Canis lupus familiaris: one gene and its partners. The protein of the gene in region 1 purifies or fractionates together with the protein of each later gene. This does not show direct contact. Links are inferred from orthologs where the notes say so. Each region holds a gene or a part of one and is shown in the gene's direction. Other genes may lie near its edges. The genes, in order: ARID4A, BRMS1 and SAP30.

What was found.
Region 2: the proteins of ARID4A (region 1) and BRMS1 purify together in Homo sapiens (affinity purification with western blotting; 3 studies listed by BioGRID and IntAct, with this or other methods). This does not show direct contact. The link is inferred for Canis lupus familiaris from reciprocal best matches to the Homo sapiens genes ARID4A and BRMS1.
Region 3: the proteins of ARID4A (region 1) and SAP30 purify together in Homo sapiens (affinity purification with mass spectrometry; 5 studies listed by BioGRID and IntAct, with this or other methods). This does not show direct contact. The link is inferred for Canis lupus familiaris from reciprocal best matches to the Homo sapiens genes ARID4A and SAP30.

The regions. Positions count from the first base shown.
Region 1 is NC_049229.1:33,993,317-34,003,954, forward strand, and holds part of ARID4A (AT-rich interactive domain-containing protein 4A), read left to right. Parts: intron 1-4,990; coding exon 4,991-5,063; intron 5,064-6,255; coding exon 6,256-6,350; intron 6,351-6,500; coding exon 6,501-6,598; intron 6,599-7,102; coding exon 7,103-7,334; intron 7,335-10,638.
Region 2 is NC_049239.1:51,469,997-51,479,647, forward strand, and holds BRMS1 (breast cancer metastasis-suppressor 1), read left to right. Parts: upstream 1-226; 5' UTR 227-376; intron 377-3,000; 5' UTR 3,001-3,011; coding exon 3,012-3,186; intron 3,187-3,260; coding exon 3,261-3,351; intron 3,352-3,519; coding exon 3,520-3,647; intron 3,648-3,826; coding exon 3,827-3,906; intron 3,907-3,993; coding exon 3,994-4,090; intron 4,091-4,696; coding exon 4,697-4,789; intron 4,790-5,981; coding exon 5,982-6,046; intron 6,047-6,776; coding exon 6,777-6,816; intron 6,817-7,202; coding exon 7,203-7,210; 3' UTR 7,211-7,752; downstream 7,753-9,651. Other genes in the region: RIN1 (ras and Rab interactor 1), read left to right, coding at 8,752-8,837, 8,980-9,160, 9,266-9,380, 9,476-9,548. UniProt on the Homo sapiens protein: Transcriptional repressor. Down-regulates transcription activation by NF-kappa-B by promoting the deacetylation of RELA at 'Lys-310'. Promotes HDAC1 binding to promoter regions.
Region 3 is NC_049246.1:24,116,220-24,127,481, forward strand, and holds SAP30 (histone deacetylase complex subunit SAP30), read left to right. Parts: upstream 1-5,307; 5' UTR 5,308-5,621; coding exon 5,622-5,936; intron 5,937-7,591; coding exon 7,592-7,717; intron 7,718-8,139; coding exon 8,140-8,238; intron 8,239-10,787; coding exon 10,788-10,910; 3' UTR 10,911-11,125; downstream 11,126-11,262. UniProt on the Homo sapiens protein: Involved in the functional recruitment of the Sin3-histone deacetylase complex (HDAC) to a specific subset of N-CoR corepressor complexes. Capable of transcription repression by N-CoR.

The DNA.
Region 1 (10,638 bases):
TTGTGAAGAATTACATATTGTAAGAAATTAAACAATTTTATGTTTCTGCTACCTAGAGGAATCTATACATTCAACGCAATCCCTTATCAAACTACCATCAACTTACTTCACAGAGTTGGAACAAGTAATTCTAAAATTTGTATGGAACCAGAAAAGACGCTGAATAACCAAAGGAATGTTGAAAAGAAAACAAGACTGGTGGCATCAAAATTCTGGACTTCAAGCTGTATTACAAAGCTGTAATCATCAAGACAGTATAGTACTGGCACAAACACAGACACGTGTTATCAATCGAACAGAATAGAGAACCTAGAAAGGGACCCTCAACTCTATAGTCAACTCATCTTCGACAAAGCAGGAAAGAATATCCAATGAGAAAAGACAGTCTCCAACAAATGGTGTTGGGAAAATTGGACAGACACATGCAGAAGAATGAAACTGGACCATTTCCTCACATCATGCACAAAAAGAGACTCAAAATGGATTAAAGACCTAAATGTGAGACAGGAGTCCATCAAAATCCTAGAGAGAACACAGGCAGCAACCTTTGTGACCATGGCCCCAGCAACTTCTTACTAGACTCCTCCCCAAAGGCAAAAATGAACCATTGGGACTTCATCAAGATAAAAAAGCTTTTGCATAACAAAAGAAACAGTCAAAGAACTGAAAGACAACTGACAGAATGGGAGAAGATATTTGCAAATGATATATCAGATAAAGAACCAGTATCCAAAAATCTATAAGAATTTATGAAACTCGGGATCCCTGGGTGGCGCAGCGGTTTAGTGCCTGCCTTTGGCCCAGGGCGCGATCTTGGAGACCCGGGATCAAATCCCACATGTCGGGCTCCCGGTGCATGGAGCCTGCTTCTCCCTCTGCCTATGTCTCTGCCCCTCTCTCTCTCTCTCTCTGTGACTATCATAAAAAAAAATAAAATAAATAAAATAAATAAATAAATAAAAAAGAATTTATGAAACTCAAATAAAAGAACAAAGAACAAATAATCCAGTCAAGAAATGGGCAGAAGACGAGCAGACATTCCTCCAAAGAAGACATACAAATGGCCAACAGACACATGAAAAAATGCTCAACATCACTCAGCATCAGGGAGATACAAATCAAAACCACAACGAGATACCACCTCACACCAGTCAGAATGGCTTAAATTAACACATCAGGAAAGGAAAGATATTAGCAAGGATGTGGAGAAAGGGGAACTATCTTACACTCCTGGTGGGAATGAAAGCTGGTGCAGCCACTGTTGAAAACAGTGAGGTTCCTCAAAAAGTTGAAAATTGAACTACCCTATGACCCAGCAGTTAAACTGCTGGGTATTTATCCCAAAGATACAAATATAGTGATCCGAAGGGGCACCTGCACCCCAATGTTTATAGTAGCAATGTCCACGATAGCCAAACTATGGAAAGAGCCCAGATGTCCATCGATAGATGAATGGATAAAGAAGATGTGGTATACATATACAATGGGCTGCTACTCAGCCATCAGAAAATGGCATCTTGCCTTTTGCAAGGACGTGGATGGAACTAGAGGATATCCTAAGCGAAATAAGAGAAAGACAAATATCATATGATCTCACTCATGTGGAATTTAAAAAACAAAACAGAGGATCATAGGGGAAGGGAGGAAAAAATAAGACAAAATCAGAGAGGGAGACAAACCATAAGAGACTTAATCATGAGAAACAAACAGTTGTTGGAGGGGAGTGATGGGGGAATGGCATAACTGGATGATGGACATTGAGGACATGTGATGTAATGAACACTGGCTATTATATAAGACTGATGAATTACCTCTACTTGTGAAACAAATAATATATGTTAATTGAATTTTATTTATTTTAATTAAATAAAATTCAATTAAAAAGAAATTAAGCAATTTTAATTTTTGTAAAGACTATCAGGTAAATTTAAACTGTGTTTCTAGCCTCATCTTTTTTCTTGTGTAAATTTCTCCTCAAGCAGGTATTTGTTTAATAAGGAGAATTCTTTATTCATTTATGTCTTGTTTTTATACTTGATAACTGCACCTGAACATAGAATTTTATGGCCATAATTTCTCATGGAACTTACTACACTGTTGGACATTACCTAACTTTTATTTTATTTTTGAAAATTTATCTATTTATTTATTGGAGAGAGAGTGAGAGTGCGCAAATGTGTTTGAGCATGGGGCTGGGTGGGGCAGAATGAGGGGAGAGGGAGAGAGAAAATCTCAAGTAGATTCTCCACTGAGTGCAGAGCCCAACAAGGGGCTTGATTCTGGGAATCTGAGATTGTGACCGGAGCCAAAATCAGGAGTTGAATGCTTAACCGGCTGAGCCACCAGGTGCCTGGACATCCACTAACTTTTAAATCAAATGTATTTAAAATACCAACTTTTATGTATTAAAACTATTTTTAGTAAGAATTTATGAAATGTTTGGTACAACTGTAATAAATACCTAATTTGCAGTTGATGGGTTTATTTTGTTTACTTGTTTTTGGAAGAAAATTTGATTTCAAGTCAGTGCCTTTTTTTTATTTATTTATTTATCTATCTATTTATTTATTTATTTATTTTTTTAAGTCAGTGCCTTTTGAAAAAATACTTTTTACATATACTGGATAATGGTCTTATTTGAATTCTGCAAGATCATAAATACTGGAAATGAGGTGTCGGTCTAAGGAGAAAATATTGTGATTATGAGGAACATGAGGGATAAGCAAAGCATAGGCGCAGTCTAGCAGAAGGTGTTTTGGGGTTTTTTTCCCATACTTAGAAGTCTTTAAAAATAATTTTTGGGTTACTGGACTTTTTTTTTTTTTTTTTTTTTTTTTTTTTTTGAGTTAACTCATTGGCAGTTCTAATTACCTTGCAAAGGCAAGGCTTTTTAAATTCACATGGGGAAAAACTGCCATCTTTTTTTTTTTTTTTTAAGGATTTTATTTATTCATGAGACACACACACACAGAGGCAGAGACATAGGCAGAGGGAGAAGCAGGCTTCCTGCAGGGAGGCTGATGTGGGACTCAACCCTGGGACTCCAGGATCACGCCCTGAGCCAAAGGCAGACACTTAACCACTGAGCCACCTAGGCATCCCAAAAAACTGCCATCTTTTGATTGGAACATTTAGTAATGATCCCTATTAACCCTACACTGATTATTCACTCTATATTGCTAAGTTGTGAGGCTTAGAACTTTGACTTAGTTTCTTTACATTTGTTAAAACTCACAGTACTCTAATGCTATTAAATCATTCTGAATGAATGTATTAAAAGATTTTATTCTCTTTGATTGCCTTTTGGTTTTTTTATTATATATTTTAATCAACTTCATGTTCATGGATTCTGGCTGCTATGTTTTAGTGATTAAAATTCTTAAAGAATACATAATTTTAAAGGACCTGTTGCCCTCTAGATGGTGAATACTCAATATTTATTGGCTGGTGGTTGCTTTGCTTTGATTATGGCTTTGAAAGACGAATCTATTTTTTTTTAATGGTTTTTTTTTTAAGATTTTTTTTTTAATATTTATTTATTCATGAGAGATACACACACAGAGAGAGAGAGGCAGAGACACAGGCAGAGGGAGAAGCAGGCTCCATGCAGGGAGCCTGACATGGGATTCGATCCCGGGTCTCCAGGATCACACCCTGGGCTGCAGGCAGCGCTAAACCACTGTGCCACCAGGGCTGCCCTTTGAAAGACAAATCTAATTGTTCTTTTAGAATGTAGAAAAGCAGTACTCTGAAATTATAATAATTTATATGGATGAAAGATATTAGTGTTTTGTTTATTTCTCCATAATTTTGCTAAATTTTAAATAAGAATTTTCCCAAACATTGGTTTATAAGTAGTCTATCAGGGCAGGGAATATTTTATTAAAACCCATAATATATTTAACTGCAGCTAAGACTTTGACATTATAAGAAGAGATCATTAGATTTATATAATTAGTAAAAAGTAACACTTAAATAGGTATTTGTAGGAATAGTTTATTTATTTATTTATTTTTTTTACATGAATGTTTCCATTGTTTCCCTACACCCAGGAACCAATTTGTGGTTATTTATCTAGTTTCCTTCCTTAAATAATTTTCATTTTCTTATTTTCAGGGGTTGCAAAGTCTTATTTACAGAGGCCATGCAAGAAGGGCAAATGAGAAAAGCAGGCTAATGTGATAGAAGAAGGGATGGTGGGCCTGAGACAAAATAAAATTCTATGAATCATTTAAATATATATAAATTTCTTTAAACTGCTGTGTTCTCAAAACAAAAAACTTCTGCCATGTGACTTTGGAACCTCTAGTTTGTCTTCATTCAACAATAACAAATTAGAACATTTGTATGTGGTTATTTTTATTTTTATTTATTTTTTATTTTTTTAAAGACTTTATTCATAGAGGCACAGAGAGAGAGAGGCAGAGACACAGGCAGAGAGAGAAGCAGGCACCACGCAAAGAGCCTGACATGGGACTTGATCTCGGGTCTCCAGTATCACGCCATGGGCTGCAGGCGGCGCTAAACCGCTGCGCCACTGGGGCTGCCCTGTGGGTTATTTTTAAATAATAAATATGTTTGTAATTATTGTGCTTATCTATCAATACATTTGTGTGGGCCACATGGTACTTTGATGTATTTTTTTTTTTTTAAAACTAAACCAAATGAGGTGAAAATGTTCTTACTGGATTCCTGAACCTTTTCCTCATGGCTAGTCTTAATCCCTATGTTGATATTCAAGGGTAGGGTTGGAGTCATAGATGAGTGAAGGGTAAAGATTGTGTATCTTGACAGTTGTATCAAATCAACACTATAAAAAATATGACTTAAAGTCTAGCATTGTAGAGTTTGGAGGAAATTCATATTTTCCAGCTTTGTTAAAAATTCCTTTATGTTGGGTTCATAAAACAACAACAAAATATGAATTAAAAAAGACTATATATCTCACCCTATTCACTGGTCTAAGTATTTATGCATTTTGCCTTTACAGCCTGAGGAAGAACTTGATCCTGAAGAGAGGGACAACTTCCTCCAACAGCTTTATAAGTTTATGGAAGACAGAGGTATGTATTTGATGGTCATTATTTAAAAGCAGTCATTTCTTTTACAACTTTACATTCTAGGTTCATGAATTATTTTTGTTAGAATCATGGGTATATGGATTTGGATTTCAAGTAAAGCCTAAGGATCAGTTAGAGTTGGAATAAGTATTTGGAATTAAAAAACTGTTAATATCTATTTTGAGCAGAAAATACATAGGTTGTATGGGTATAATTATACTTAGTCTACTTGGGACTTCTAAAACCAAAAAATATAATAATATTTCAGTGATGGAAGGTGAACAGTCATAATATAATCCACATACCCATTAGTTATTAATGCTATCTTTGCAGCAAGTAAACTAGCCTGATCCTCGGTCTCAACAAATGAAACAAAATAGACCAATTCTTACCTAAATTGAATAGGGTTTTTAATAGACTTAAATTGAAATACAGCCTTTATAAATTATTCCTTTTGACATTACATTAGTTCTGGAAAATCCTCCAATAAACTGGTCCTAGGCATTCTGTGACTTTGAGACATCATCCTTCAGATTACTGCTAACACTCTTAACATTTGTGTTCAAGCAATGAAAATGAATCCATGCCCTAAATTGTACCCTTTCCATTGTGTATGTTCTTGCCCAGGCTTCTTGAACCAGAAGCATTGTTGGCTGCACCTTGCAGTTGTAAGTCTTAGTTGTACCTAATTCAGTCACAGGTGATTTTATTAGTTGTGAGAGACATGATGAGTCATAGATATAAATCTAAAGACCGGGATCCCTGGGTGGCGCATGGGATCCCTGGGTGGCGCAGGGATCCCTGGGTGGCGCAGCGGTTTGGCGCCTGCCTTTGGCCCAGGGCGCGATCCTGGAGACCCGGGATCGAATCCCACATCGGGCTCCCGGTGCATGGAGCCTGCTTCTCCCTCTGCCTATGTCTCTGCCTCTCTCTCTCTCTCTCTGTGACTATCATAAATAAATAAAAATTAAAAAAATAATAAATAAATAAAAAATAAATCTAAAGACCATCATAGTGCTGTATAAAGAATATAGAGAATATTTTGTGTTGTCTTACATAATTTAAGGTTCTTTAAATATATGCTTCTGATTAATAAAACTTGGGAAATTAGAAATTGGAAAGTTTTGTATCGATAGCCTTGTAATAGCATTTTCCACTTAAATAAAAATATTTATCCTACTTTCATGTTAAAAAGGTACTCCAATCAACAAACCACCTGTGTTGGGCTATAAAGATCTCAATCTCTTCAAACTCTTTAGACTGGTTTATCATCAAGGTGGATGTGACAATGTAAGTATAGATATAATGAAAAGTTAAATTATCTATGTTGCAGTTATATGCACTGTAGGTGATAAACACATTTTCTTAATGAACCTAGAATATTAGTGTAAAGATTATTTCCTTTTGTAAATGTTAACAAATAAAAACTTAATTTTCCAGATTGATAGTGGTGCTGTATGGAAGCAAATTTATATGGACCTTGGCATTCCTATTTTGAATTCAGCTGCTTCCTACAATGTAAAAACTGCTTATAGAAAGTAAGTAGTATAGTTTATTCATCAAAGAATACATATTACAGGAATATTTTCCATTTAATTTGTTAACAATTAAACAAAAACACATCAAGGAACATTTAGTTAGAGAAAGTATATAAAAAGTTTTAGGTTAATAGATATTAGTGACTGAACGTTATTTCATCACACCAAGTCTACTTTATTCCATTTCTCGTGTTGTCTTGATTTCCTTTTCAAAGTCTGGGATGTGGTACGTTAATAGTATGAAACGATGATACATGTTTATAGAGTTATATTACTTATGTTGAATAGCCTTCATATCAAAACTATTATAGCTTTTTCAGGAAGAAATTTTATGATCAGTATTTCTGTTTATAATCCTGTATAAAGCACTGAGAAACTAGTAATAGAAAAAGTACTTTAAAAAAAGTCTCGAGTATTACTTTATAAAAATATGTGTGTTTAATAATATAGTATTTAAGTTAAATGTAAAGACAAAGATTTCTTAAAATGAAACTGTTTGTTTAGGTATCTCTATGGTTTTGAGGAGTACTGCCGTTCTGCAAATATTCAGTTCAGAACTGTCCACCACCATGAACCAAAAGTAAAAGAAGAAAAAAAAGACTTAGAAGAATCAATGGAAGAGGCTTTAAAAGTAGATCAAGAAATGCCTTTAGTGGAAGTGAAGAGTGAACCTGAGGAAAATATTGATTCAAACAGTGAAAGTGAAAGAGAAGAAATAGAATTAAAATCTCCAAGAGTAAGTACTTAATATTAGTTTTACCTGGTTTATTTTAAACATTAAATTTTTATTATGGACATTTTCAGATCCACACAAAAATAAGCCAGTGAACCTAGTTTATTTTCCAGTATTGAGTTGTGCATTAGGCAGACTAGCCTGGCTATTTTTTTCTAGATATAGCACATCTTCTTTCTTCTACCTAAAATACCATTCCTCCTGTTGTTTTCTATTTATGTCTGTTCAGATCATTCTCATCTGTGGTCAGTCTCACATATTTACTTCCTTCAAGTCTTACTAAAAGTCTCCCTTAGTATATAATTCCTTTGTAGAGATTGTCATCCATTGTTTTTGATCATTGTTGAATGATGTCTACATGGTAGGATTTATCAAATTTTAGGAGAAAAAATTTTTTCACACTATCAATGGCATTCATTTACTGTTACATCTTTTTTTTTTTTTAAGTTTTTATGTATTTATTTGAAAGAGAGAGTGAGAGAGAGAGAGAGGGAACAGAGGGGATGGGCAGAAGAAGATGCCCTGCTGAGCAGGGAGCCTGATGCAGAGCTCAATCCTGGGACTCCAGGACCATGACCTGAGCTGAAGGCAGACACTTTGCCAACTGAGTCACCCAGGTGCCCCTGTTACATCTTATTTTTTAGTGAAATCATGTTTAGTCAAAGAAGAAATGAAATTACCTCTTTTAGTTGCTCAGAAACCATTTTTTTAAAACTGTCCATTTTGACCATCATCCAGTAAATGGAATCTTCCAATGAATTTCATGAAACATTCAAATTGGTTTGCTTCATTTCTTTTTAATTTTTAATTTTAAAAAATTGTGGTAAATACACATACTATGTATCCTCTTAACCATTTTTAAGCATCAGTTCTGTGGCATTAACTATATTCCCAGTGTTTTGCACTCATCACCACTGTCCCTTGCCAGTACCTTTTTCATCTTGCAAAACTGAAACTAGCCATTAAACAATAACTCCCCATTCCCCTCTACCCAAGATTGTGGCAAAACCATTCTACTTTGTCTCTTTGAATTTGACTACTCTAGGTACCTCATATATATGGAATCTTACAGCTTTGTCCTTTTTTGACTGGCTTATTTCACTCAGTATAATGTCTCTCAGGTTCATTCCTGTGTATGTGTCACAATTTCCTTCCTTTTTAAAACTGAATATTCCTTCCTAAGACTGATTGTCTCCCATTATATGTATTTTGGACATACTTTCCTGTCATTAAAGATGTTCCTCATCTTTTGTAAATTATCTTCAGAGTACTACATAATATACATATACCATAAATTCACCTTCCTTAAAATTTTCTCCAATTTTTTATGATTACAAAAAGTGCTGTAATAAATATACTTGTAAAAATTCCTCCTCATTGGTCTGAATATAGAGGGAAGACTTCTAAGAATGGGATTTCTAGGGCACCTGGCTGGCTCAGTCAGAAGAGTATGTGACTCTTGATCTCAGGGGTGTGAGTTCAAGCCCCACGTTTTGAGATTACTTAAATAAGTAACTTAAGAAAAAGGTATATAGGTCTAAAGTCTGATAGATAGCAGTTGTTTTCATTCATTTACCTACACGTATTTAAAGAAAAGTTGCTCTGTGCATAGGATATAGAAGTATATAAGACCATCTCTGCCCTCATGGAATTTACATTCTAGTTCTTTGTGAAAAGAAAAATACACTTTTTTTCTAACTTTGAAGTTTATTTTTTTATTTTTTAAAGATTTTATTTACTCGTGAGGGACGGACAGAGAGAAAAAGAGAGAGAGGCAGAGACACAGGCAGAGGGAGAAGCAGGTTCCATGCAGGGAGCCTGATGTGGGACTTGATCCTGGGACTCTGGGATCTCACCCTGAGTGGAAGGCAGACACGCTTAAGCCCTGAGCCACCCAGGGGTCCCTAACTTTCAAGTTTATTTTTTTTATTTTTTTATTTTTTTCAAGTTTAAATAGCACATAGGAACTAGGGAAAACATTTGTTATACTGAAATACTAGTTGTTATTTTAGTACTCTCTAAGTTGTTGGTCCCCCCTTTTTTATTTTTAAAGATTTTATTTATTTACTCATGAGAAACACAGAGAGAGAGAGAGAGAGAGAGAGAGAGAGGCAGAGACACAGGCAGAGGGAGAAGCAGGCTCCATGTAGGGAGCCTGATGCAGGACTCAATCCTGGGACTCCAGGATCATACTCTGGGCCAAAGGCATGCACTAAACCTCTGAGCTACCCAGGGATTTCCCCCCCTCCCTTTTTTAAAGATTTTATTTGTTGGCCCCTTTTCTATCCTCACTTTATTCCAAGTAGAGGGAAACTGCCAGTGTGTAGCGGTGGACCTGAAGGAGAATTTAGGAGAGAATGAAATGGCTCAACAGTTTCACAGTCAGTTGAGCATACAAGAGGCTAAATGAAAGCTTCTGGGGAAGAACAAATTACTACCAGCCCAGTGAGCTCCAAATACTTATTCAAAGAAATCAGCTCACCTGTTGGCCATGGATGCATTTTAGTCCTTTTATTTTTAAAATTTATTTTTATTTTTTTTAGAGAGAGAGCAAGAATGCTGGGGTTGGGAGGTAGGCAGAAGGAAAGGGAGAGAGTATCTCAAGTAGGCTCTACACCCAGTGTAGAACTGGACGTGGGGCTCAGTCTCACAACCCTGAGATCATGACCCGACCTGAAATCAAAAGTCAGACACCCAACCGACTGAGCCACCCATGCACCCCTATTCAGTCCTTTTAAAATGTAGTCACACAGAAATACAGTGATAATGTAAATTTTATCTTAAAAATGGTAGATTAGACATCATAGAACTTTTAAAGAGCCCATAATTTAGGAGGCTGATTTATTTTTAAATTATTGTTAACTTGCATCATTGATACTTAATTATTTTAGAACTTTCAGTGTAGTCAAGAAATATTAAAAGTGTGATAAAATAATGCCAAGTGAAATAAGTCTAACAAAGATAAATACTGTATGATTTCATTATATGTGGAAAATAAAAGCAAACAGAAACATACTCGTGAATAGAAAGGACAAACTGGTGGTTGCCAGAGGGAAAGGGGTGTGGGGATAGACAAAATAAGTAAAAGGGATTAAGAAGCACAGACTAACAGTTATAAAATTAATCATAGGGATGAAAAGTATGGCATAGGGAATATAGTCAATAATATTGTGATAACTGGTGACAGGTGGTATCTACATTTATGGTGAGCACTGCAGAATGTGTATAATTCTCAAATCACTGCGTTGTATACCTGAAGTTAATATAACATAGTATGTCAACTATCTTTCAATTAAAAAATTTATTG
Region 2 (9,651 bases), on another chromosome or scaffold:
CGGGCAGAGGGGGGGGGTCGCAGCTTCTTCCCTTCCCCGGGCGGGGGGCACAGGGGTGGGGAGGAGGTTGCTGCGGCCCAAGAGGCGCCGACCGCACAGCAAGGAAACCACGGGGGTCTTTTCCGCCAGCCGGCCGAAACCCTGCGTGAATGTCGGCCGGTTGCTATGGAGACCGGCCCCGCGGTATCCCAGCATGCTTCGCCGCGAGCTGCCTAATTGTGAATTTCGCGACCGGCGCCTCCTGATGACGTATGCGGAAGTGCAGCGGGCCCCGCCTCCCGGAGTAGAGGGACTGGCGCGTCGTTTCCGGGAGCCCGGCAGCCGCGGGCACCTCTCAGGGAGTTTCAGAAGTCAAGCTGGAGGCCCCCTCCCCACGGTGCGTAACGCTCCTCAGGGCACCTGGTTCGGCCTCTCTGGCCAGTCGGTCGGAGCTGGGCCAATCAGGGCCGAAGCGGAGACCTAACCGGCCGGACGCGTGCGGCGCCGCGGGGCCGCTGTTGGCCGCCGAAGAGGCAGTGACTCCCCCGCCCGCGGCGCCGGCGCAGACGGGAATGGAACGGAGCGGGAGGGTCCTGGCGCCCCGCGCCGCGCAGGGGTCTGGGTGGGCTCTCTCCAAGGACAAGAATCGGCCTTCCGTGGAGGTCCGCCCCGAAATGCTCACTTTCTAAAAATATAAATTGTGTGTGTACAGCGCCTTATACTTTGCTTTTCCATCCCCTACGCCTTGCAATCTTTAGAACGCTCAGAGTAGCAATGGTTATCCTCTTGGTTAGCCTCTTTTTGCACCTGGGGTAAGGAGGGGAGGTTGTGATTTAATGTTGCTCCCTCAGTAGAATCAGAGACAGCTGGAGACAAAGGAAATATATATAATTTTACAATGAAGAGGAATTGCGAAGTTTGGGAACTGCAGGAACTCAGTTCCTGCTTAAGAATGGGAAAGATGAGGTTGGTTTGGAGAACTGAGGTTTTCGGCTCAGGTTCACTTGTGAAATCATTGAAGAATGAGACTAAACTGAGCCGCGAGACAGTTAATTATACACAACTCAAATTGTGTCAAGGGCTCCCCGCAGGGAAAATTTATGCGGGACTCCCGGATCCCAGGACCACGCCCAGAGCCAAAGGCCGACTCAACTCCTGAGCCACCCAGGCGTCCCAGTGTGTCAAGGAAAGTTAACAGAATACTTTGGGTTTGCTACCACTACAGGGTCCTGGGGCAATCAAGAAGTAAAAGCTGCCCTGAAAAAGTGTGCTTTGTTTAATTTGTATTTGCATATCCACCAGTTGTGAAGTGAAGTAAGTACTGTGCTGGGTGAACGAGGTGCATGTGCATCCCCATCCTGGTAAGGCTTACAGCCTGATTGGATAGACAGACGTGAAAACGGCAAATAGAGAGGAGATGTAAACAAGTAGAGCTTCCTGGAGGGAGTGGTGTCTATATCCATCTAAAGGACTACAGTACCCTGCTCAGAGAAGTTGGAAGAACATCACAGTGAAATCGAAGCCTTCAGTAGGTAGAGATTAACTGTTGGGTGGACTGTTTAGTCTTCCTCATAATTGATCTCTTGGCAGCATTTGGCACTATGATCGTACTTCCTTCTGAAATTCTTTCTCCCCATGACTGTGCTTCTCTTCCTCTGTTTCTTGCTAATTTCCTTCTCCTTTGCAGGGCTTTCATCACCTGGCCCTTTGGTGGCCCTGGGAGTTCTATCTTGGACCTCTTCTCACTCCACACATTTTGCCTTGCTGGTTGTGCCTTCTCCCAAGGCCTGAAGCACTCACTATATGCCGATGACCAGATCTCTGCACCCCAGATTTCTCTCTGAGGCTTAGACTCATGTACCCCCACCTCTGCCCCTTCCCTCATTCTAGAGTCTTTGCCCATGCTATTCACTCTGCTTGGAATGTTCCCTCTCCAGCCATCTCAGCTCATCTGTCTGCAAGTCCTCCCTATTGCTGCAGCAAGGATCTTCCTCTGCAAGCCCTCACTGTTGGAGCAAGCTCCAGGTTCCAGTGAGATGCCTCTCCCATATGTCCTCCAGTCTTAACCGTTCTCATACCACAGTACGGTCTGCTTATTGCCTGTCTCCCAGGAACCTACAAACTCCTTGAGATCAGAGACTGTGTCTGTCTGCTCCATCGTGCCCAGCATCTGACCATAGCATCTGACAGTACCTGGCATATATTAGGTCTTCAATAAATCTTAGATGAGTAAATAAAGAATGATTAATAGTGTTCATTGTTCCTGAGAAGTCAACGAAGATAAGCACTAAAAAATACTGGCATTGGACACAAGGTGGACATCGGTTGATGCCACAGAATTCACTTCAGCTGAGGGCAATCATAGAGATATGGAATGGAACCTCTGGTTAGTGAAAGAGTAGGAACAGCCAGAGCCTTGGGAAAGGTAGCTGTGAGGTAGGAAATGGGGAGTGGTTAAGTGGAATAGGGCGAGGTTTTGTGTTCTGCTATTTCTAAATGGGAGACAATACCCGAACACATCTAAAATTTCATGGGTAGAAGCTGTCAAGAGGAAGGATTGGAGAAACAGTGAAGATGGGGGTACTGGTAATATGAGGCTCCAGAGAAAGCAGAAGGACATAGGCGTTGATCCAGAACACAGCGAGAAAATGAGGATTGCAGAGTGTTCTCAGGATGAGAAGTGGATGGCATTCCAGCTGAAAGGATCAATGGACGGGGTGGGGAGTATGAAGGCATGGCGCACTTAAGGATGGTGGGGTAAAGGAGCTGGCTCAGTACTTCAAGTCCAGTCTGTGCAGGCCCTTAAACACCCCAGCCACGAGTGCGGGCCCAGTCCCAGAGGCAGTGGGGAATCCATCCTTGGTGTTTCCCAGCTTCTGGACCATCACCTTGGCCAGCATTCCCCAGATTGGGATCACCAACAATGTCCAAGATTGTGAGCGTTTCTGTGGCTCCCAGGCTTCTGGGAGATATTTGGGCAGGGCTTGGTTTGACTCCCCACACGGTCACTTTCTCACTCAGAACTGAGGGTGATGATAAGTGATGGCTCCCCTCCTCCCAGAGCCCAGATGCCCATCCAGCCTCCAAGCAAAGACACAGAAGAGATGGAAGCAGAGGGTGATTCGGCCGCTGAGATGAATGGGGAGGAGGAAGAGAGCGAGGAGGAGCGGAGCGGCAGCCAGACTGAATCGGAGGAAGAGAGCTCAGGTGAGCCCCCAACATGTGCACACAAGCGTCCGCCCGCTTTTCCTCAGCCAGAGCTGACTGGCCTCTTGTCCCAGAGATGGACGACGAGGACTATGAGCGGCGTCGCAGCGAGTGCGTCAATGAGATGCTGGACCTGGAGAAACAGTTCTCGGAGCTCAAGGAGAAGTGAGCGCGGGGCGTCTAGGGCTGGGTCTTTAGGCCCCCTGGGGTGAGGAGGCAGCGGGCCTGGTGCTGGGCAGGGGTAGCCAAGGGCCTGACACATGGGACCTGCCATGGAGCAGGCGCTTAGCCACGTGTCTGATGAACAAACATGTGCTGCCTTTTCCCTCCCAGGTTGTTCAGGGAACGGCTGAGTCAGCTGAGGGTGCGGCTGGAGGAAGTGGGGGCTGAGAGAGCACCTGAATACACAGAGCCTCTGGGGGGACTGCAGCGGAGCCTCAAGATCCGCATTCAGGTGGCAGGTCTGTGGGCTGTCCTGTGCTCTGGGGTGACCCCAGGCCTCCTCGCATCTTCCTCTGCCAGAGCCCATGGCTGTCTGTTCCCTTCTTTCCTCATTCCTGCCCAGCTCTGCTCCTGGCTCCCCCTTTTGGACACATGAGACCCTGGCCAAGCAGGGCTTCCCATCTCCCTCCCTCTACAGGGATCTACAAGGGCTTCTGTCTGGACGTGATCCGGAATAAGTACGAATGTGAGCTGCAGGGAGCCAAACAGCACCTGGAGGTGAATGTGACTGCGGGCTGGGCTGGGGGAGGTGAACGGAAGGTGGCTTGTCCCTGCCACCCTGCTGAGCACCTTCACCCTTTCCAGAGCGAGAAGCTGCTGCTCTATGACACGCTGCAGGGGGAGCTGCAAGAGCGGATCCAGAGGCTGGAAGAGGACCGCCAGAGTCTGGACATCAGCTCTGGTGAGGCTGCACTAGGCACTGTTCTAGCCATGCCCCCACCCCTCCCACCCACCCCCCATCCTGCCCTCCCACACCACCTGCTGCTCTGCCTACACAGGGAGCATGTAGGAGAGCCTGCTTCATGGTGTCACTCTGGGGCCTAAATGGAACCAGGCACAGAAAGGACACAGCCCAGTGCCTGGTGCACAGAGGAGGCTCAGAAAGAACGGTCCCCCTGCCCTCCTTGGCCCCTGCTCTCTTTCCAGAACAGGAGGTGTCATTCTGACACACCCACACATACAATAGCCACAGTTCCCTCCGTGTCCACAGCGCCTGTGTTCACATGGCATCCCAGGGAGGCCAGAATTGTCATTGTCACACTGCCCACTAAACAGATGAAGGAACCAGGCTCACAGAAGTACAGTGACCTCTTCCCCAGGGTTGCATGGCTCTGCCATCTAGCCTTGGCCTCAGCTTCCAAGCCCCTGGCCCAGGGTGCTCTCCACTGGCCTGGGAGGGAGAGGAGGGGTAGGGGCTGGTCTGGCTCACGTGATGGACACAGCTACAAGGGTGGGGTGTCCAGGGATGGCCAGCTCTTTGATCCTGACTCTGGGTCTGGGGGCACAGAGTGGTGGGATGACAAACTGCACGCCAGAAGCAGCGCAAAGACCTGGGACTCCCTGCCACCCAGCAAGAGGAAGAAGGCACCTCTCGTTTCTGGTATCCTTCCACCCACGGCGGCCTGACCTGGGCAGGACAGCAGGGTTAGCTCCAAACCAAGGGAGGGGGTGGGGGGACACGGAAGGCAGTCATTTATGGCAGTTTATGGTCATTTGGCATCATGTGGCCATGTCCAGGCAAATCCAACTGTCAGGAATTTCCTGTGAGGCCCTGGGTCTCTCCTGGGCTGGATAGAGAAACAGAAGTATCCATTTAGTGACTCCCCATAACTTCCTGAGGGAAGTCTCCTTTGAGGTTCTTTTGGCTTTCCCACAATATTCCCAACAGGTCCTAGATTTTCCTACCAACACCACGTCACCCCGCCTTCTCTCACTTCCCACCCTCTTCTTGGAATGCCTTGCTGCCTCTCTGTGCCTGTTATCTCCTCTGTGAAGCCTCTCCTGGTTTCCCCCCAATAGCTATGGCTTCTCTGTCCTCTGCAACCCTGTGGCCTAAGCTGGGGGTACCCACATCCCACACAGTAGTTGCCCAGCCTCACATTAGGCATGAGCCACTTTAGCCCAGGGCTTGCTGAGCCCTCATCCTCCCTGGCAGAGCCCACCACAGATGGGAGCAGGATCCACATGCCCTCCACCTGCACCCCCGGGTACTCCTGCAGCCTTCAGGCTCCCAGGACACTGGCCGCCCAGTGATGGCAGTCAGGGCAGGCAGGGAGGGAGGAGTCTGGGCCTTGAGGACTTGTGGGTTGAACAGGAGGTCAGGGTGTGGAGGCATCAGGTACAGAGCCCAAGAGGACAGAGCAGACCCTCCCACTCTGGAAGGGAGTGGGAGACCAAAGGAGGGTCGTCTCTAGAATGGAAGAGACTGTGAAGTCTGTGTAGAAGGGGCCAGATGAAGGGATACTAAAGGGACAGGGAATAGAGGGATCAAGGTCCCCTAGTGGGGGACCTGGGTTTTGACCTACTGACCTTTAAACTGGAGGGAGGAGTGAGGAGGAACTAAGGGGAGGTAGGGGGTGAGGCTCAGTACGCTTCACGGACTCATGAGGCCGTAGGCCCTGCCCCAAGAACCTGGGATCCAAGAGGCAGGAGGCAGAACCTGAGCTCTAACCAGGGTCCTCAGCCTCCTGGCCTCCCCACACTGCCTCCCCCAAGTTTTGGAGCTCCCAAGCGGGAGGCCTGTCACCTGCCCTCTCCACTGGGCTTCCTGCTTCCTTGACCCCCCATTGCAGGTCCTTACATCGTGTATATGCTGCAGGAGATCGACATCCTAGAGGACTGGACAGCCATCAAAAAGGTGGGGCCAGTGCCACCTGCTTCCCTGGGACAGGTCCCCATCCCTGAAAGCTTTGGTCCCTGCGGCCTCACCACACACGGGCTTCCTGAGGGCCTGGGAGCTCTGCTCAGCCCTCAGCACCTCCTGCCTTCTGCCCAGGTTCCTTAGCTTTGCTGTCAGCTCACAAGCTCCCCCACACACACCCATTTGTTTTTAGAGAGGGAGAGAAAGTGCACACGTGCATGCAAGTGGCACAGGGGTGGGAGGGCAGAGGGAGAGGGGGAGAGAGAATCCTGAGCAGGTGCTGTGCTGAGCACAGAGCCTGATGTGGGGCTTGATCTCACGACCCTGAGATCATGAGCTGAAATGAAATCAAAAGTCAGACACCTAACCGACTGAGCCACCCAGGTGCACCCCACACAAGTCCCCTTTTGCCTGAGGCTTCCCTGCAGGAGGGACCTTTTAATCTGTCATTCCCTTCCTCCTTCCAGGGCAGGTTTTGATGGGACGGGAGGGAGGGAGGGAGGGAGGGTGAGAGGGAAGGCGGCTGGGCTGCCCTGGCCTGGCCTGGCTTGGCATCTGTCAGGAGACCATGTCAGAGCTTTGCCCAGAAAGGGGCTTATGCTCCCCACGCATCTTGATGCTGCACTGACCCAGCAGCGCCCCCGCCCCAGAGAAGCTGATGTGGAGGAGGCTACTTGCCAAGTTGGAGGCAGGCTCTCAAGGGGGGCTTTTCTTCTTACCCCCCCAGGCTAGGGCAGCTGTGTCCCCTCAGAAGAGAAAAGCAGATGGTAAGAACCACAGGAGCTGTTCTGCCTCCTGCCACCACCTCCCCCAGCCCAGCCTCCTGGAAGGAAACCCAGAAAGAGTCAGTGGTTATGTCAGCTCTGTGGCCCCAGTTAGAATGGTTTGGGTTTGAGGGCACTTTGGGGGTTTGGGGAAACGGAGCCGGGGTGGGGCTAGGGGATGAAGCTCCCTGCAACCAGGACTAGTCAGGGAGGGCTGGAATGCTAGGCCCCAGCAGCGGGGTGGCCCTGGTGAGCCCAGGGGTGAGGGCTGTAGAGCTGCCCTGGGCCAGACCAAGGCTGTTCCTCTCAGCACCCCATAGGCACTGGTGTTCCCCTCTTGGTTCAGCTTCTTACTTGCGGTGCTTTTTCCCCTTCTGGTGTCCCTCTAGGACCATGACCCTGCTCTTCAGAGCCAAGGGCCCCCTTGGAGCAGCTGGCAGCAAACCCAGGATTTGCGTTTTCCTGCTGTAGGAAGGCAGATTGACAAGCCCCTCGGGGTCTGTCCGGCCAGCTTCCCAGTGCTGCTGCATGGCCTTCCCCTCCAGCTATCACTGGTCTGGACTCCTCTGCCCTCCTCGGGGCCTGCACACTGTGTGGCCCAGAGCTGCCTTAACCAGACAAGACTGTCTTCCCTGTCCCCAGTGAGCCCACCCCCCCACCCCCACGAGATCAGCCTTCTCCTCACCATCCCAGACAAAGAAGATGTGGCTCCTCTTAAGCCAAAGCAACATTCTTCCTGCTGACCTTGGACTAGTCACTGAGCTAGTGAGCTGGGCCCCACTTCCTGGGAACTTTGAACCAGAAATTATATTTTGGGGGGGCCTGTCTCTCCTGGCCGTTGTTGGAGATGAGAAGGCAGGCTCCCCAGGTCTTCTCAAGGAGGTTCTTGATGTCTCCCAGATTTCAGGGACTGGAATTAAAACCTTCCCTGGGACCCTAGCATGACCTGTGTGTGTCTGATTTACTTTGCGAGGGAATCAGGGCTCCCCTGGGGAGTGCCTGAGTCAGGTGGGCTCTCCTGGAGTCCCTGGTACCTCCTCTCTCTACCTGGCAGGAGCCCACCTACTCTGAGTTGGGGTATGGGGGGGGCCCTCCCAGCACACCTCCCAGAGGTGGGGGAGTGAGCAAAGTCTGAAGCAACATGTGGCACAGGCCGATCATGTGTCGGGGGTGGGGAGGGTTGTGTGCTCTGTGCTTGGAGCCTGGGTCATGTCTGCACCTGCCCCAGTCACTTGGCAGATTGGTAAGGCAGGCTGGCGGGGCCTGGGAGTGTAGGAGGCAGCTGGCAGCAGCACCATGTGCTGACGACCTCACAACCAAACTCCCCCACCCCCATCCCATTTAGCGCCAAGTGTTAGAACCACCCCCAGAACCTCAGTTAAGCAAAGGGGTTAGTTTCCAAGGAGACACAGCATCCTTTCTCCATGGCAACCGAAAATCCAAAACCCAAGTTAGGCTCGAGAATGAGTCATCTGTGACCAGTAGGGGGTGCCCTCCCACTGGGCTGACGGGGGGCGGGGAGGGCACACAAATGAGCAGTTGACCACAAACTTAATTAAAGGTGCCCCATGGGCAAACTTGGGCCTGTGGGACCCAGATGGGCCCAGCTTAACCCCTTCCCGCCTGCTCGTGTGCCTCGAGGAGGCTGGCGAGGCTTCAGGATGCGCTGTGTGGAGGTGGCAGCCCCACAGCCGGGGCTCGTGGAGTGGCACTGCACGGAGAGGACCCTTGCTCCCTGAGGCTGGGCCTGAACACGGAGGAAGCGGGCACTGCCCGGGCTAAGGGGACACACAAGAGTTAACTGGCGGGGCGTGACAGGGCGAACCGCCCTCAGGAAGTGTTACTCACTGCTGGGAATGTGAGCGCTCTTGCCTTGGGGGCTGGATTCTCTTCCTGAGTCCTGGGAGAAACCGGGAGAAACCAAAGGAGCTCCCAGCCATGGAAACCCCTGGGGAGCCAGGGGCTGGACCTCTTGGAGCCCCCAGCCTCTCCAACTTCACACCTGGGCACCCGGAGAGAGAAAAGTTAGTGAAGTTGGAAGGGCAGCCCCGTGGGACAGGGAGGGATGGCAGAGCAGGGTCTGTCCCAGGGCAGAGGTGGGGGGAAAGGGTTGGGCAAGGGTCCCACCCCCTGGGCCCCTGCTCAGATCTGGTGCCCGCCCTTTAGGCCAGCCCAGGACCCACTGTATGACGTGCCCGGGGCCGGTGGGTGGCAGACAGTTGGGCCCCAGCGGCCCGGGCGCACCGTGAGCCTGCGGGAGCGCTTGCTGCTCACGCGGCCCGTGTGGCTGCAGCTGCGGGCCAGCGCGGCGGCTGCTCTGCATGTGCTGAGGACCGAGCCCCCGGGGGTGAGTCTGGCCCCTGATCCTGGGACTAGCCGACGGAGGCGGGGCGGCGGGGGGGGGGAAGGCTGGACACCGAGGTCCCGAGCCTCCGACCCCTGTCCCTTGCAGATGTTCCTTGTGCGGAAATCTAACACTCGCGGGTGCCAGGCCCTGTGCGTGCGGCTGCCCGAGGCCAGTGGCCCCTCCTTTGTCTCTAGCCACTACATCCAGGAGAGCCCTGGGGGTGAGCAGGACTGGCCTGGGGGGAAGGGGCTGGAAGCAGTCCGGGCCGGGCACAGGGGTGTTTTCTGGAGAACAACCGCACTTCCCGTCCCTCAGGCGTCTCCTTGGAGGGCTCAGAACTCATGTTCCCAGACCTGGTCCAGCTCATCTGCGCCTACTGCCATACCCGGTAAGCCTGGCTGCAGGGTGCCTGGTGTCCGTTGGTCCCAGGTCCCTGGGACATCCTGTCCTCCCAACCTCTGCAGGTTCTGTCAGCCCCCAGTGCCCTGAGC
Region 3 (11,262 bases), on another chromosome or scaffold:
ATGCAAAACTCTTGCAAAATGACAAAATTCTGTTATGAGACATTAAAGATCTGAATGAATTGAAAAATATATCATGTTCATGGATTAGAAAAACATGAATATATCATGTTCATTATGTAAAGATATCTATTCTCTCCTAGGTTAATGTGTGGATTCAATACAATGTCAACCAAAAATCCCAAAAGGTTCTAATGTGGTTGTATTGTTTGTTTTGTTTTCTTTTTCCTGGACTTGGGTAGTAGTAATACAGATGTTTGTTTTTCCATAACTACTGACACTGGACATTTATGTCTTATGTACTTTTTGTATATTTGCTTTATTTTAAACTAGGTAAAATTAAGCATGGTATAAACTATAATAAGGGGATCCCTGGGTGGCTCAGTGGTTTAGCCCCTGCCTTTGGCCCAGGGTGTGATCCTGGAGTCCCTGGAGTCCCGGGATCGAGTTCTACATCAGACTCCCTGCATGGAGCCTGCTTCTCCCTCTGCCTGTGTCTCTGCCTCTCTCTCTCTCTCCTCTCTCATGAATAAATAAGTATTTAAAAAAAATAAAACTATAATATAATAGAATTACATAGAGAGATGTATATACTGAAATATATAATTTTTTTTCTAGCAAGAAACACAAGAAATTGTTAACACTGGTTGCTTTTAGGGACAGGGATTTGAGAAGATAAAAGGAAACAGACTTTTTGCATATTGAACCTTTTGCATTATTTGAATTTCCTAATCATGTTCATGTTAGGATTATGGGTCAATTTGTACATTTTTACAAATTAAATTATTTAATGATTTATTTCAAAGTAAAACCAGGAAAATTCAATCATGTTAAAAGCTCCAGAGGGAAAGAAGGCAGGGAAAACTACTTCTTAAAGAATCAATACAAAATAAATAAATAAATAAATAAATAAATAAATAAATAAATAAATAATAAAGAATCAATACCTATAAATGACAGGGCAGTCAAAACGGTTAAAGACCTGATGAGAGTTCCTTATAATGCAGTCGGTAAGAAACTTTGATTATTTTTTGTAACACACAGCATTTTAACATTTCAAATGTTGAGTGATGGCACTGTACCAGGACATGTTACAACTTTAGGAATTTCATTTCATTTTTGGAACAGCGACAGCATTCATGCATCCAATATAATATAAAAGGGCTTATCATTGTTGTTTGACAATGCTTCTCATGTGACTTTACATAGCAGGTAAACTACATTAATTAGTCAAGAGACTCTATTTAGGGTTTGATTTTCTGGGAATCTGTTGAAAATCAATGAACGAATGAACAAACAAGAGAACTGCCAGCCAGCCAGCCAGCCAGCCAAACCAACCAACCAACCAGCCAACCAACATACCAACATCTCAGAAGGTTTCAAGGCATGTGCCTACAAAGGATTACGGATCATTACAAAACTGAAAACTTCAGTATCTGTTTCTCCAAGGTGGCCCTAGGAGATTCTACAGGAGGTTATAGAGTCACCAAAATGTAGCTCCTTTAATATTGAGAAGTTTTCACTCTCTTACTTAGGTAAAGACCGGATATAAATGAATATAAAAACCTTGTTGTAATGGGCAGGTAAAGGGAAAAAAAAATTAAAGAATCATGTTACAACCATTTCAGAAAGCAAATATTTTAATGATATTAACAACCTCTCTATAACTTAAGTTTCATAAATCTGTATTTCCATATCATCTACTCTGAGGTAGGATTACCATGAATTTAATGGATTTAAGGTTCAGAGTCCCTCACTTGGACAGGCCCTTTCATTTTTATTTATTATTTTTTTTTTTCGGACAGGCCCTTTTAAATGCTTGTGCCTAATTTTGTATTTAAATTTTAAATACTTTTTCTTAAGGGAGACTCCACAAATTATATGTTTAAAGCTCCCCAAAGTCTGATTCCAACATAGGCTATGAATTACACTTAAAGGAAGGAATTCCTACCTGCCCTGAATACGAAGATGTGTAGAAACAAACGAACTATGGTTGCTAGGAAAATTTCTGTCTGAACAATAGATTCACTGAAGATATACTTTACATCAGGCATTGAAAATTTTCAGTTCACCTGCAACAGAAATGCCTTCTATTTGCCAGAGGTGAATCATTGCCTCTTGTGCACTAAATCTGTACTTTTTCTCTAATGTTATTGAGGCATGCATTTTAGTCTGTTTGCTATAATAGAACACCATAGGAATGCCTGGATGGCTCAGCAGTTGAGCATCTGCCTTTGGCTCAGGGCATGATCCTGGGGTCCTGGGGTCGAGTTCCCCATTGGGCTCCCTGCAGGTAGCCTGCTTCTCCCTCTGCCTATGTCTCTGCTGCTCTCTGTGTGTCTCTCATGAATGAATAAAATCTTCAACAAAACAAAACACCATAGACTAGGTAGTTTAAAAACAACAGAAATTTATTTCTCACAGTTCTAGATGCTGGGAAGTTCAAGACCAAGGCATTGGCAGGTTTATATCTGGTGAGTCATCCTGCTAGTTCATAAACTACTGTCTTCTCACTTGGTCCTCACATGGCAAAAGGAGTGAGGGAGCTCTCAGAAGCCTCTTTTATGAAGGCAGTAATCCTATTCAGTACCTCTCTACCTCATGACCTAATCACCCTCCAAAGACGCTACCTCAGAATACCATCACATTCAACATTTGAATTTTAGGAGGGAGGACATAAACATTCAGTCTTTGGCAGCCTGTATTGTGTGCTTGTGAAGCTACTCTACCAGACAGTGAGCCCCAAAATGGCTAGGACTCTGTTTCAATTATTTTTATATCCTAAGGCCTAGAAAAAATCCTAGTAAGCAATACATGTTTAATTGGATCTTTTAAAATACTGTATTTTGTGTACAGGAAGCCTAGCCACAATTTGTCACTTTAGTAAAATTCATATGAAATGGATACCTTGCTAAACCATTAACATATACATGAAGTAATTTGTTCATATTTTGTAAAAGATACATTATAAACTTTTAAGAGCAAGGACCAAACAGTATTATGAGTTATTTTAAAAACAAACAAAAGCACAAAAAATATGGAAGTCCAACATCCTAATACTACATTTGTTTCAGATTTTCCTAATAAATAAAAACCTACAAATACAACGGACTCCACCTTTAAACCATTCCCAGATACAATTCCTTGGCCTCTCTCCTGAGATAGGAACCCCACCCTGAAGTTGGACTGTATCCATCCTGTCCATATGTTCTCCTTTTTCACCACTTAAGAAAATACATGCACAAACAACAGATACTAGTATTCTGTTTAAAAGATTAAGCCAGCATTATCTAACAAAAATATGTGAACCACATATGTAAACATTTAAACGTTCTTGTAGCCACATTTAAAACAACAGGTAAACTTTAATGTTATATTTCATTTAAACCAGTAAATTCAAAATATTATCATTTCAACATATAATCAATATAAAAAGTATCAATGAGCCATTCATTATAGTTTTTTAAAAACTTCTAGTACTAAGTCTTTGAAATCCTGTCAGCAGTTCTTACTTGCAGCACATCTCAACTTGGGTTCTAAGTTTAGATTTCACAAAATTTAGATAGAAAAAAAAATGTATTCATGTATCTAAGCTGTTCCAAACACACTTGAAGTCTTTACAATAACTGAAATCTGTTTTTTAAATTTAAAGTTAAATTAACAGTTTTTCAGTAGAAATAACCACATTTCAAGCTTTCAATAGGCACATTGGGCTATCAGACACCCTACTGGAGAGTGCAGCTTAAAAAACAAAACACAAGACGCACCTGGGTGGCTCAGTGGTTAAGCATCTACCTTGGGCTCAGGTCACGATCTCAGCGTCCTAGGATGGAGTCCCGCATGGGGCTCCCTGCAGGGAACCTGCTTCTCCCTCTGCCTGTGTCTTTGCCTCTCTCTCTCTCTGTTTCTCACGAAGAAATAAAATCTTAAAAAATAAAAAGGGTAACACAACATACTTACCATGCAGCATCTTCCTTTTGCTCATTCAATTTACGTAATAATATCTTAACGTTTTGTTTTTGTTTTTGTTTTTTGTTTTTCCCTTTGCCATAGCCTAGAACTGAAAAGCACAGACGGAATGGATGGCTTTGAATTTCAGGGCAGATGACATTTAGGTTTTTTTAAAAAATCATCTATCACTAAATTCACTCAGCAAGCCTGAAAGAACTTGCAAAAGAACCTGGTTCGTATTTTTATTTAAGCCAAAGGACGGCTAAACAGGACACATCCGATACAGTCACAGTGACGCGCAGCAACCGGCAAAGGCGCACGCGCTCCTATCAGCCGCTCCATTCCCCGGCCCCGCCCCCTACAAGCACGCGCCCACGGGCACGCACGCGCACTCACGCACTCTACACGCACAGGCGCGGGCGGATACACACACACACACACGCACGCACGCACTCTACACGCACAGGCGCGGGCGGATACCCCAGGAAATGCGGGTTCTTTCTGGCCTTTCACTCCGCAGAGAGAACGCCGGGAAGTTTCCGAGGAGCACTCACGCTAACTATATCGGGGCTCCACGTCCCCCTGGACAGGGTCCTGGATCCCACTTTTCTCTAGGGCCTTTAGAAGAGAAACGGTGAAGGTTGGGTGGGGGTGGAGGCGGAAAGAAGCCGCTCCACCGCAGGAAGCGGCCAACTTTGATCGCCCCAAAATGAAACCCGATCTTCGCAGGAACGTGCAAGGATTTAAAAACGGCCTTCAGCTGAGGCACTTGGGAAGCGGCCCTGTCACGGTCGAGGTCGGAAGGGCGTTTTTGCCTCAGCTGGTGTGTCAATGAATGGAACTGTGACCCGGGACCTGCGGCATCTCCCGGACCCGAAGAGCGCCAGCTTCCCCGAGTTCTCCTTGGTTTGGGTGTCCCACAAAAGCATGGCCACACCAAAAATTCTTTTTCCACAGTAAGAAAACGGCCCCGAAACTTTTTCACGCCGCACCTTCCCTCCTAGCTTCCCGCCCAGAACATTTTGCGCCTCGCCTCAGGAGCGGGGTGGCCGCTTTGTCTAGTAGAACGCCAACACTGCAGAATCCCGGTAGCGAAAGACGGAGCAACTTCCTGGGAGAGACTAGAAGCGAGAAAACATCACCACCCCTAACCACACGCCCCTGTTTTCCCACTGACTTAAAATAAATAAATAAATAAATTAGCAGCCGAAGCCCTGCCCGTCGCCGCGCGATGCATGCTAGCATAAGTAGTTCCAAGGCGCCCAGTTCGGGGTGGAACTCAGAGTGATTCCCCCTCAAAGAACTACAATTCCCATGGTGCCCTGCCACACAGTGGAAGGGGCGGGGCAGGAGAGGGCTCGTCGCGCGTGCGCAGGTCGGGGGGCCGGAGGGAGGCGGAGGCGCCAGGGTCCAACTGCTGAAGCGTCTCCATGTGACAGTGACCGGAGTCCTAACTCCTGGCGCCGCCCGGTTCTGGCTTCTGACCCCAAACGCTGTCCCCCATCCCGGCGCCAGCGGACAACAGCAGACCGGGACGCCTGGTGTGTGGCGGTGCCGCTGGAGGAATCGCCCCGGCGGGGTCAGGTGTCTGAGGGACCCCGCGGAGACCCCGGAGTCTCCGCAGAGAGGGGGAGCGGCGAGCCGAGCGGGGGTTTCTGTCGGCACGCGGAGACATGAATGGCTTCACGCCTGAGGAGATGAGCCGCGGCGGGGACGCGGCCGCCGCAGTGGCCGCCGTGGTCGCCGCCGCCGCCGCGGCCGCCTCGGCCGGGAACGGGGCAGGGGCCGGCGCCGGGGCTGAGGTGCCGGGTGCCGGGGCGGTGTCGGCTGCTGGGCCCCCGGGGGCGGCCGGGCCGGGCCCCGGACAGCTGTGCTGCCTGCGGGAGGACGGAGAGCGGTGCGGCCGGGCGGCGGGCAACGCCAGCTTCAGCAAGAGGATCCAGAAGAGCATCTCCCAGAAGAAGGTGAAAATCGAGCTGGAGAAGAGCGTGAGTGACGGCGGGACGGCCATGCCCTGCCCTGCTCTGGGGCTCCCGGAGCGGTGCCGACCGGGGTTCAGGGGCGGACGGTTCGGGGGTCCCCTAGACCTGGCTGTGGCGCGAGCCCGTCGCGTGGTCTCGGGTAGGACGCGAACCACAAAGTCGCCGCAACTCGGACCGCCTCCCCCGCAGACCCACGCCAGCCGGCCGCGGGTCCGCTGCTCCCCCCGCCCCCCCCCCGCCTCCTCTCCCTCGCGTGCCCACCCCCACCCTTCCTACCCAACCCCCGCGCACCCCCACCCCGTTCCGGGTGTCCGCCCTGCTCGCCGTCCAACCCCTTCCTCCTTCCCTGAGGTCGGGACACGAAACAAAGAGCACCGCGGCTCGGAGGGCCCGGAGTAGTTTTCTTGCAGCCTGTCCGCTCCTCCTTTGTTTTGCTGCCCAAGCTGGCGCGTGGCCCCGGGGAGCAACCCCCGGCTGTAGGCAAAAGTGTAGTCCTGCAAGCGAGGCCCTGGTGCCGCGGTGGAGACCGACTCCTCTGCTCGTCCGCCGGGTTGCGGAGGGAAGAGAGCCGAGCTCACCCCGCGCGGTGCAGACCGCCGGGCTGGTGGACGCCGCCAGCATCCAGCGCAGCTGCCGGGAATGTGGGGAGCCCGCTGCCTCTGCGGCGCTGCCACCCCTTCGGCAGCATCCGGATTTCCTTTACCGTCCTTGTTGTACACGTCCGTTTCTTGTGTTTCTTTGACCATCTGTGAGGTTTTCAGAAACAACCATTGGCACTTTGCGGAGTTTTGGCTGGCGGTGAATGGATAACAAGATGCCAGAACCTAGCATACGCCCTGCATAATTTTAACTTGGACTTCGTTTACAAGTTAAATTTCAAAGCCTTAGTCTTTAATCGCTTGTTGTTGTTGTTTTTTAAAGGAGTTTAAACTGTTAATAATGCAGCCCAGTATTTCAGATGTTACCATACAGCGCTCAAGACTACATTTAATTGAAGCTTTTGCAAAGTTTGTGATCTATTATGCCTGTTAAAGAGTTCTTCAGTCATGCTTGGGAGACACTTCTCAAGTAAACTTGAATAGTTTCACATTGCCTTTGGTTGAAAAAAACGTAATACAGACAAATACATTCATTAAATACTCAGAAGCTTGTAATTCAGATGTAAATATAAGTAGTATATGAAATCGGTAGCTCGTTTGTAAAAATGGATAGTTTTGTATCTGGATTATAATTTGAGTACTGAGAAAGGATATGAAGCTACTAAAATGTGCTCTTTAGAGAAAATACTGTCAGTAGCAGAATTGTGGGCAACATCATCTTTCCACTTATTAAAAAAACAGCGTGACCTAACAAATCTAATTCACCCTCACTACAGTTTAATTAAAAAATCCAGACAATTGCAATTTCTCATTCTGCTTGTCTGCTTCCCTTCCTTCCTTCCTTTCACTCCTCCCCACCCCACTCTCCAATCCTCTTAACCCTATTGTCAGACACGGTATGTTCTAACTGAATACAGGACTTAAGCATAGAAATATGCTGTTGTCTTAACAATGGCCTATTTTGACTTTTTATTTTTAATAATTCACTGTGCCCTATGTATTTTACTAATACGTAGACACGTTACATAATAATAAGTAGTCTGTGAAACTTTTTTGTTTTAGGCAAGGCATCTTTACATTTGTGATTATCATAAAAACTTAATTCAGAGTGTTCGAAACAGAAGAAAGAGAAAAGGGAGTGATGATGATGGAGGAGATTCACCTGTTCAAGATATCGATACGCCAGAGGTAAAGTTTCTGTATGTTAAATGTAAATCCTAAGTATTCCATTCTGAAACTTCTATTAAAAGATAGGAACAAATTTTAAAAATACTTAATGCGAAAAATCTGAAAATGAAAGCAAAATTAAATATAGCCAATTAATAGGCAGTTGTAGTTTGACTTATGTTTTCAATTCACAATGCTTATACCTCTATTGCCTTCTTTTTTTGCTCCCAGTTCTCAGTATTTACCTTCAAAAGATTGAAGTGCTCTATATATTTGTAGTTTTGATTATGTAAAAGAAGTAATGGAATGGAATTAATTAAATAATGTAATTTTTGTTACTTAATTACATTTTTGTTGTACCAAAATTGAAATGCTATTATGCATATCAAAGATAACAATTTAAAAATTGCATGAACTAATTCTTACATGTTTATTTTTTCTAGGTTGATTTATACCAATTACAAGTAAATACACTTCGGAGATACAAAAGACACTTCAAACTATCAACCAGACCAGGACTTAATAAAGCACAACTTGTTGAGGTATTTATGAAGTTTTAAATGAGCCTGTTTATATAAAAAAGTTATTAAAGGCTAATGAAATTGTTAATGTAGTACGTATAACAATACAGCTCAGTTAGAAAGATCAGTTAATAAAAAATCTATTGTGGAAGAATCTAGTTTCCTAGAAATGTTTGTCTGTCTCTTAAATTGCTTTATGTAACAACCACTCAGTGGATTGTATGTAGCTTTCTAAATATCTTTTAATACTGGCTTTCAGAAATAGCGGGTAATAATTTTTAAATTCTCATTCTAGAAATCTGTTGGTTTTAAAATTCCACTCAGGAAGCATTTTTTGAATACCTTATTGAGGCATAATAAAAGAAATTGATAAGCTTTGTTGTCTTTATTATAAATTTTTTGAGTTTTTGATGGATTAGGTCTACAGATTAGCCCATAAATAGTATTCCTATAACTTGTTGATTTAACGATTTCAGAATTTGTCTTTGGTGATGTTAGCTTGTTTTATTAGAGGCATCTATGCCTTCACATCTGGAAGATGCAAAGTTTTTTTTTTTTTTTTAAGAGTTTATTTATTTACTTGAGAGAGATCTGAGAGAGAGAGCATGAGCAGGGAGAAGAGCAAAGGGAGGAGACACAGACTTCCTGCTGAGCCGGGAGCCTGATGGCAGCTCAGTGAGAGGGACTCGGGACTCTGGTATCATGACCTGAGCTGAAGGGATACATTTCATTAGCTCCACCACATAGGCACCCCAGATGCAAAGACTTTTATCCAAGGTTTTATTTAGTTTGCTTTGATATAAAACTTTTAGTCTTTTTGTAAATTTTGAAATATGTGTGTTTTCAGGAGTTAATAAAGAACCAAGAAATCTGTGAATCAAGGCATTTACAGATTTATGTATTTGTACTTTAATCATTTTAAGTAAAAATACTTAATCTACTCAACAGAATAGAAATGTAAATATATAAGTCAGTTTTCTCATATTTTTCAGCTTGTGTTTAGTAATGCAGTGTTTTTTAAAATGCGCATATCGAATAAGGTAAAAGATACAGAAGGTACAATTCTTTGGCAGAATGCTTTTTTAACATCGTTAAGATATAATATACTGACTTTTTAGCCAGAATTTCCTCTTTCCTTCTTGCCCAAGCAACAAAAATTCAGTTTTTCTTTAAATTTGATTTAAAAAATATAGCCCTTTTTGGATTGTATAGTATATTAATAAAAGATAAACATGGGTATTTACTGTGATGAAACTGTATCTATATATATACAGATACTAATCAAGTGGAAGGTACCTTTGTTTTGGGACAAATGTGAACTCAAAAACTGATTATTTTAAATGTTACATATGAAGTACAATTGACTCTTGAACAATGCATTTTTGACTAGGGGCATAGTCAAAAATCTGCATATAACTTTTGACTCCCCAAAAACTTAACTACTTACTCATAGCCTATTATTGATTGGAAGCTTTTTTAATAACATAGTCTGTTAGCATATTTTATATGTCATATGTGTTATAGTTATTCTTACTGTAATCTCAATAAAGTAGGCTAAGGAAAAGAAAATGTTAAGAAAATCGTATGAAAGAGAAAATACATCTACAATACTGTATTTATTGAAAAAAAAGTGTGTAAGTGGACCCTCACAGTTCAAACCTGTGTTGTACAGGGTCAGTAATACATATTTTTTAAGTATACTAGTCACACCTGAAATATTTGATAATCTGATATTTAAAAAGTTATATTATTTCTAGAGTTACTTTCTTCTTTAGAAATGAGAAAAAAATCCAAATGGCCATGAATGTTAATAGTTCACTTAGGAATGATTCCAGAGTTAGGTAACTGTCTTCCTTAAATCTCTTAATTATCGTATGAATAACATTTTCATTAAGACTTTTTTTGTCTTTACATTCTAGATAGGCATATCAATACCCCTGTTTAGTCCATTGTACTTCTCTTGGTTTTGTAGTGTTAGATTAGCATAAAGAAAAAGCCAGAAAGCAGATAAACATTCTTCAGCGAATGTCTCTCTTTCCTCGCATTTTCTATCCATATTTATTCAGACAAACTTTCAAGGAACCTTAACAGAGAGTACTGCCAATGAATGAATGAATATAAATTGTAGCAAATATATTTGTAAGATATTCTATGGTTTGTTTCTACAGTACCAACAGTTTTTCAACTTAAATATTTATTTATCCTTTTCCTGTGAGTAGGGTCTAGATTTTGTTTTATTTCATTCATATTTAAAGTTTTAAAATATTTACTTTTTAATATAGATTCTAGTTATAAAATTTAAATAAATAAAAGGAAATAACACATTCTAATGTCTTTTTAATTGAGTAGGTTGGAGGGTCCTGTGAAATCACCCTCTCTCTTGTTCGTAATATCTTAATTATATGCTTTTCATCTTGTTGGTATTTTGTAAATAGTTTATTATTTAAAGGAAATAGCTCTTATAGCACTTTTTCTTTTGATAAAAGTGTTTTTTACCTAGTATAATAACTGTTAATATCTATAATTTAATTTCAATTTCAATTTTTTGTTTGTTTGTTTTGTTTTTTTAGATAGTTGGTTGCCACTTTAGGTCTATTCCAGTGAATGAAAAAGACACCTTAACATATTTCATCTACTCAGTGAAGAATGACAAGAACAAATCAGATCTCAAGGTTGATAGTGGTGTTCACTAGGAGAGGTGGAATTGAGACTAAGACTTGGATGTTCAGATGTTAAGACTGTTTACTGTTTTTTCACATGTAGAAATGTTCCTTGTGTATTTTTTTACAGAGGATTTTCTCTGGTTTTATTTTCTTTGTTTCTGACTCTAATAATTAGTTGGAAACTCGTGTAAAATGAGCTTTCCTAGATTAAAAAAATATTTTAAATAAAGGTGATTACTATTATAGTTGTTTCAGTGTATTTATTTTGTGAAATTTGATTTTTTTAAAACTAGTTTTAATTAAGAGTTTAATGTAAAGATCACTTTGTTCCCACATTTTATTTTTAATTTTAAATTTCAAGAAATGAAGGTTAAGAGAAGTA